Coturnix japonica: one gene and its partner. Each later gene encodes a partner of the first gene's protein in a complex. Links are inferred from orthologs where the notes say so. Each region holds a gene or a part of one and is shown on either strand. Other genes may lie near its edges.

Region 1 (4,491 bases):
GTATTTCCCACCTTATTAATCTTCTCAATTTGCTTGTTACGGACTGAAGAATTATCAATAGCCAGAACTTCGACTGTCTCCTCTTTTTCTAGCTGGTATTTGTTCACTCCAACAATGACTTCAGAACCTATTTCCAGTGGAAACACCAAAGACTTAGAATATATGAGCAAACTAGTGTGAAAAGACACAGTATTTATAGGAGAACATTTTAAGTAATAAGATACAGTGCTTTGCTTTATAACATTTCAAATACTTTAAAGAAATATAAGAAGGACTTAAGTCCATTTCTCATATTTTGCTGTAAGAGATGATTATATGCATGATCAATCAACACAGTTAACACTACCTAACACTAACTTCATAGTGTTACTCCTCTCTTCAGGACAAAGTAATTCACCTCGGGAGACGAAACATCTTAGGATTGTTCTTTACTGGTCTCAGTCAAGAATCTGCTTCAAATTTATACTCAAAAAAGGCTCATACAACTTCTTTCCTGTTCAAGTTATCCCTGTAGACTAGAAAAACTGAATAGAGACAATAAACATATATATATATATATATATATATATATACAAACACATATTTATTACACATATACATGTGTGTATACATGTACATATTGGCACATAAACACACACCTCCACAAACACTCATTGTTTGTGATTACGTATCTATACATAAATAAAGAACTGCATCATCTCCTAATATGAAATGAGTGCATTTTTCTGCTCTTCAGGAAGAATAGGCACTTCTCAAGGAACTGAGACTCTTGGCCAGATGCATTCAACCATTCAACACTGCCATCTGCTGGCTATCACAGTTTTACACCCAGGAACAGCAGTTCAGATGTACTATCTCAAAAAGAAAGAAAAAAAATCCCTTCTTTTGCCTTCTTGCTCCCTACCAGAGTCAATCCTGGCTTGCCGTCGGGCTGCACACTCTTCAATACGAAGTTTGGGAATTCCTTCAGCAACAGCTTTGGCCATTCCACCCATTTCTTCAATCTCCTCAATTAGCTGAAGCGCAGAAGATTGAGAAAAAGAGGATTAGTAAGGATACAAAACGAGCTTTGCGGTTGCACTACCATCCAAATTCTCACTGCATCCAAATAATTGATCAGATCATCTAAATCTCCCCTCTTTTAGTTTAAAACCATTCCACCTTGTCCTATCACTATCTGCCCATGTAATAAGCTGGACTCCCTCCTGCTTATAAGCTACAAGTACTGGAAGGCTGCAGAGAGGTGTCCCCCATGTCCATCATCTTCAGGCTGAACACACCAAGCTTTCCCAACCTTTCTATATAGGAGAAGTGCTCCAGCCCTCTTAGCATCATTGTGGCCCTTCAGTGGATCCATTCCAACAGCTCCATGTACAGTTGGACAATTTAATTCAGGACTGCCACTAGTCAGGCTACTCTTGTGCTGCACCTTTTATTTGCAACTAATAACTAGCAAATGAAATGTATTATTTGGAAGAAAAAAAAATAAAACTTGGCTTGCAATAGCATCCAGTTTCTAAATATGAAGCAGAGTAACACACACATGAGGAGACATAGAATCATAGAATACTGTGAGTTCTAAAAAGACCATCAACTCCTGGCTCCACATAGGATCATCCAAACACTGTACTTTATTATAAAGATCATCTACACAAAATCATTGAAGCTGAAATGTTAAATAATTCCTCCCTGAGAAGTTAAAAAGGTACAAAACAGTCATCTCTCAAAAATTCTATAGCTGAAATTTTCCTACAAAACAGAAAAGGTTGGATATTAGGAAGCACTTCTTTACAGAAAGGGTAGTTAGGTACTGGAATAGGCTCCACAGGGAGGTGGTTGAATCGCCATCCCTGGATGTGTTTAAGAATCATTTGGATGTGGTGCTCAGGGATATGATTTAGTGTAGGGTTGTTAGAGTTAGGGTACTGGTTAGGCTGCGATTGGACTTGATGATCTTCAAGGTCTTTTCCAACCTGAGTAATTCTATGATTCTATGAAAAGAGCATTTAAACCAACCTTCAAAGCAGCCTCATAGACATCGTTGGTGAGGCACTCCATCAGGTAAGATCCCCCCCAGGGATCTGCCACCTTTGGAATCCCTGATTCCTCTTGTATTATGATCTGTGTATTGCGAGCAATGCGAGCACTCTTCACTGTAGGCAAACCCAAAGCTTCATCAAATGAATTCGTATGCAAAGACTGGGTGCCTCCAAACACTGCAGCCATTGCTTCGATTGTAGTGCGAATAACATTGTTAAAGGGATCCTGAAAGGAAAAGGAAAGCTCAAAAGATCAAAGCTTCTGCCACAGGGCTGAGGTGCACTGATTTAACTTATACTGCTGAACATAAATCAATGCAAGATTCCCAATAGAAGAACTGTAATCATACCAAAAGCCGAAAAAGAAAGCAGTCAATGGGAGACATCCAATGAAACTGATATATCACTCAACAGTATTTCAGGCAAAGAGATTCATCAATAAAGCAAGCCAGAATTATTGATGTACAGGTAAATTGGTCACAATAATAAAGCAAAGCCCAGTTTAGATTTAGTTGGGTTACAAATAGCTTAATTAATTCAAAGTAAAACATGAGAACGTGTTTTAAATAGGAAACAGAGTACAATTTCTAACCTGCTCAGTGAGTGACCAGCCTGAAGTCTGACAGTGAGCTCTCAGCAGCAGAGATTTGGGATCTTTGGGCTTGAACATTTTCTCTATCAAGTGAGCCCATAGCTTCCTCCCTGCTCGAAGTTTAGCTATTTCCATATAGAAGTTCATGCCAATTCCCCAGAAGAAGGAAAGCCTGGAGTAAGAGGAACAGGATAAAACATTAAAACAATCTAAAAACTTAATTTCAGTAAATGACAAGAGCTACAGTAAAGCCCCCAATTAAAGTAAAGCCCCTCCTTCTTTTGACAACTTTAGTCCAGATCCAACATCTGCTTAATGCAGATAGAAAATAAGTAGATTAATCAGTCTTTACATTTGTAACTTCAGTCCATAAAACCTGTGATACTAAAAGTGCGCTGAACGTAACAAAGTCATGGTATAATTCATAGAATGGTCTGCGTTGCAAAGGCCCACAGTGCTCATCCAGCTCCAACCCCCTGCTGTGTGCAGGGTCACCAACCAGCAGCCCAGGCTGCCCAGAGCCACATCCAGCCTGGCCTTGAATGCCTGCAGGGATGGGGCATCCACAGCCTCCTTGGGCAACCTGTGCCAGTGCGTCACCACCCTCTGGGGGAAAAACTTCCTCCTAATACCTAACCTAAACCTCCCCTTCTGATGAAGATTAAAATTAAACTCCAGGGACTTTACCAAAAATTATGAGTATATTATTTAGCTCACCTTGGTGCAAATTCATCAATGGTAAGGCCGGCTTTCAGTCCAGTTCTGCAGTATTCCAAGCCATCTGCTATAGTATAAGCTAATTCCAGAATGGCATCAGCTCCTGCCTCTTGCATATGGTATCCACTGATTGAAATGGAATTAAATTTCGGCATGTACTGCAAAAATAAAAGAAAGAAAGTGTAAGAAGGGAGGAGGAAACTGAATTTCCAGGGCATAAACCCAGGGCTTCACTCCTTTCCTTATCTGCTTTCTATGCTTTATATCACAACACAAGGCCTTTAGATTTTCTGCCTCCTTGCTCCTCTTACAGCTAATAATGCTTCTTAACTATGTGGCTTCTCCCTTTGTACAACAAAAAGCCTCTCTACTCCTTGTATCCAACCTTCCTGAAACCCTTTCAGGCTTGCCTGAATCTGATTTTGATTTGCATTTACTTAATCCTAACATTTATAAATGTTTGCAAATGATTTGAGACCATAACTTGTCCTGATTTGTCTTCCCACCTTCTTCTACAATTGCATCTTTGTTCACTATGGCAGGTCTTCCCGTTCTCTGCTTTGTTCTGCATTGCTACTTATAAATAGAATCATAGAATAGAATTACCCAGGTTGGAAAAGACCTTGAAGATCAAGTCCAACCGCAGCCTAACCAGAACCCTAACTCTAAAAACCCTACACTAAATCATATCCCCGACCCCCACATCCAAACAGTTCTTAAACACAACCAGGGATGGCAATTCAACCACCTCCCTGGGGAGCCTACTCCAGTACCTAACTACCCTTTCTGTAAAGAAGTTCTTCCTAATAGTTAACCGGGTATAAAAATGAAGTACATACACTTAATTAATAAATACCTTTGAGGTGTACTGGAAGATGTCAGCAATAATCCTCATTGATGGTTCTGGAGGGAAAATGTATGTATTTCGGACCATGAACTCCTTCAATATGTCGTTTTGGATTGTCCCTGTCAGCTTGGCCTGAGGCACTCCCTGTTCTTCCCCAGTCACAATGAATGTTGCCAGCACAGGGATGACTGCTCCATTCATTGTCATAGAAACTGACATTTTCTCTAAAGGAATTCCATCAAAAAGGATTTTGGTGTCTTCCACCGTATCAATGGCAACTCCAGCCATTCCAACGT
Region 2 (3,314 bases), on another chromosome or scaffold:
TTCATTGCTACCCTGGAATTGTTTGAGATATCCAGACTCAGACTGTCAGAACACAAATGCTCTGCAAAATGCATACTTGTTAGGAAGCCAAACTAAACTTAAATTATAACAAACAAACCCCAAACTATCTCACATACTATGATAGGCATACAGAAAATCAAGACTATAAAAAAACACCTAATGCCTTATATATTTATTCATATAAGGAAAAGTAGAGCACACGGCAACAACTTATTAAAACTCTTGTTAATGCTTTTCTGTCAGCCCTCAAGAAATCAGCATTTTCCTATTTTACTCTTCATATTTAGTAGATAACTCTGCATTCCAGTTCAAGAATTAGGAAAATGCCAACTCCAGATGAGTTCTCAAGGGAAACAAAAATCATGTGATCTACAAGAGAGGAGAAAAGTAAGCATTTTCTTTAAATATGAAAAGCTTACTTCAGTCAAATAAGACCAGAGATCAATTTTTCTATTATAGGGAACCTATAAAGAGGAGGGGAGTCAACTCTTTGAAAGGGTAGATAACAGCAGGACAAGGGGAGGTGGTTTTAAGTTGAAGGAGGGAAGATTTAGGTTGGATATCGGGGGGAAGTTCTTTACTACGAGAGTGGTGAGGTGCTGGAACAGGCTGCCCAGAGAGGCTGTGGATGCCTCAACCCTGGAGGTGTTCAAGGCCAGTTTGGATGGGGCCCTGGGCAGCCTGGTCTAGTATTAAATGGGGAGGTTGGAGGCCCTGCATGTAGCAGGGGAGATGGAGATTCATGATTTTTAAGGTCCCTTCCAACCCAGGCCATTCTATGATTCTGTGAAAAAGAATTGCGATTAAGAACTTGGTGGATGGCACTCATTTCATATGTCTGTATTTTAAAAAGTCTAATTAGACTTTGCTTTTGTACTAAAACATCTAGTTAGAATCTATGATTGTTACAATTCTCTTCTCCTAGCATACAGGAAATAGCTATAGCTTCCCAATGACTGAACAACTCTTTTTATATGCTTTCAATGTATTTAAAACTAAGACTGCAGTCCGGTGCAACCAGGAGGTCCAGTGTTCTTGCAGAGACTCAAGAGGAAGAAAAAAGTAATACATACAAGAAACAACTGATAATAAATCAGAATGGAAAGCAGAAGTGTTTATCACCCCTAAGATAGTCCCACAGTGAAACTGCTGCACCAAACCTCACTCTCCAAAACCAGTCACATTTTGATACAGGCTCACATTTGTGACCAACAAATCCATATGAGTACAGACTCAAAAACAGTACTGCTGTTCAAGTACCAGATATAGTAGTCTCTGAGTGTGTGTTTGCACTGAACTTTACATATACAGAATCCTACAGCGCTTTTCACTCAGTATTTTTGTGGCAGAGTACTAATAAATTGTATTCCATTAGTGTCTGTTGTAGTGAAACATTTGAATTCACACATAAAGCGTATTTAATATTTAGGTTTACATGAAGGAATTAGCAATAACACAGTAGAAAATAATGATTAGAGACCATCTTTGAATGCTTTCAGCAGCAGATCAGCTGCCAGCCCAGGAGACAAGACACCACTAAGAACTTTTTCTTCCAGAAGTGGAATCTTATCTTTGACTGCCAAGTGACTCCGGAAATGTTCCAACATATTTTCTTGGATGAGATTCCACATCCACACTTTCTGCTGCTTCCGCCGTTTAGCAATCAGCTCACCACTTGTGAGCATGAGGTCGCGAAATTCTGTCATTTTATCCCACATATCTGAGATACCTTCTCCAGTTTTGGCAGAGATACGCATTACCTGTTGGATTCAGAACAATGTTTAAAGCCACGTAATTACTGGGCTTAAGGGATCAATTACTGCATCAGGTAGACTTCAACAGTCAAGTTACATGGAAGGCAAGCTCGCTTCAATACACATATCCAATGCCACTCGAAACAGTTCTGCAATGCTCACACTTTTCTCCATGACGAAAAATAAATCCCAAAGTTGGGAATGTACCAACTATAAGTAGATGCTGAGATCCATAATATTTGTGACAAATGGGGCTTGTTCAACTGCTCGTATAACAAGTGAGAATCATTTTAAATACAATCTTTAGCTAAAAATGTACAGTGTTGCTATTTTACTTAAATGTAAACTTGATTATGCATTCTGGTAGACAGACACTGATAGTTACCCTTCTGCACTTCAAGTATTCCAGAAACGAGATATTAAACTTCTTTCTACATATGCTTCCCAGACAAGGAATTCATTCTGCCAAAGTATTATAGGCATCCAACAGAACCTTTTAACTGTTACCACTGTTTTTATCCTTTTAAGAAAAAAATCTCTCTCCCATCTGATGGCTCAAGTCCCTACACATCAATATTTCCTTTTTTTCCCAGTAGTCAGACAATGCCATCACTGAAACAGAGACAGATTTCTGATAACCTGCTTGATTCACTGGTCTCAAAGAGGTGTTAAGGGTCACATTTATAAGGCTGAACAAACAAGTACCTACCCAGATGTATCAGCTGCTTATAAGATAGTGATGAAGTAAACACACAGAGTGATGAAAAGCAAAGAACCACGTATCACATACATGATTATGTCAAAACAATACGCTGCAGCAACAAGAGGAATCAACAGAGTCAAAAACAGTATTTTGGTGGAAACGTATCTGTTTGCACTTGCAACAATTTACAGTGTTAAAAATCCTATCTGAACTGTAAGAGAATTCAGTATTCAGCTCTTCTGCACTAACTTCAGTTGCTGCATTTCTCATCACAGTGACTAGTAATTCTAATCAGATCTAGAAACAAACATGACAAAACAACAGTGAAGAAGTTGAACAGAAGGGCAGTTCAGCTGATGTAAATTTAATTCAAGGGGTCAATTTTAGTCAGTGTAGAGCAAATCTCCTTCACATATCCACGTACAGAGTGAAAACGTGTGCACACATACTTACATTAGTACTGAATCTTTTTCTTAAAGATTTACTGTTCCCTTTTAACATACAAAATAATGCATCAATACTAAAAGCACTTGGGATGACAACCTCAATAATTCAGACAGTGTATGCACCATTAGATGAGGTATCTGTTCATAAGAACTTCTATTATGTGTTTTAAAAAAGAAGCAAAAAATGAACAGGTCAAAGAACAAATATCATCATAGGTTTGAGAGTTATAAAGAGAAAAAATAGCTCATGGGACATTTTAAGATATGCATAATTTGCTAAAAGCAACTACAACCCAAGCCAGAAATTGGTTTGCTAGTGCTGAGGTTGTAGCTCACAACAGAAATCACAGTGGGAAGGACTGTGGCTTTGCAGTGTGTCATGTGGCACCT

Evidence for each region.
Region 2: the proteins of MMUT (region 1) and MMAA are in contact, whole or in part, in a crystal structure (PDB 8GJU), measured with the Homo sapiens proteins. The link is inferred for Coturnix japonica from reciprocal best matches to the Homo sapiens genes MMUT and MMAA. Residues at the interface, in NP_000246.2 of Homo sapiens: Lys496, Glu609, Arg610, Glu611, Gly612, Arg613, Arg614, Arg616, Ala635, Thr636, Ala639, Asp640, Gly642, Phe643, Asp644, Val645, Asp646, Ile647, Gly648, Pro649, Leu650, Phe651, Gln652, Glu656, Gln659, Gln660, Val662, Asp663, Ala664, Asp665; in NP_001362573.1 of Homo sapiens: Arg98, Ala99, Ala102, Glu103, Thr106, Glu109, Ser110, Thr111, His112, Ser182, Ser186, Gly187, Gly188, Ser189, Leu190, Leu191, Lys194, Thr195, Met197, Thr198, Ser201, Arg202, Met204, Tyr207, Ile208, Arg209, Pro210, Ser211, Pro212, Arg214.

Annotation. Positions count from the first base shown.
Region 1 is NC_029518.1:99,243,825-99,248,315, reverse strand, and holds part of MMUT (methylmalonyl-CoA mutase, mitochondrial), read right to left. Parts: coding exon 4,205-4,491; intron 3,507-4,204; coding exon 3,349-3,506; intron 2,804-3,348; coding exon 2,632-2,803; intron 2,284-2,631; exon of another isoform or gene 2,273-2,283; intron 2,266-2,272; coding exon 2,017-2,265; intron 1,017-2,016; coding exon 905-1,016; intron 128-904; coding exon 12-127; intron 1-11. UniProt on the Homo sapiens protein: Catalyzes the reversible isomerization of methylmalonyl-CoA (MMCoA) (generated from branched-chain amino acid metabolism and degradation of dietary odd chain fatty acids and cholesterol) to succinyl-CoA (3-carboxypropionyl-CoA), a key intermediate of the tricarboxylic acid cycle.
Region 2 is NC_029519.1:27,400,789-27,404,102, reverse strand, and holds the end of MMAA (methylmalonic aciduria type A protein, mitochondrial), read right to left. Parts: intron 1,782-3,314; coding exon 1,494-1,781; 3' UTR 846-1,493; downstream 1-845. UniProt on the Homo sapiens protein: GTPase, binds and hydrolyzes GTP. Involved in intracellular vitamin B12 metabolism, mediates the transport of cobalamin (Cbl) into mitochondria for the final steps of adenosylcobalamin (AdoCbl) synthesis.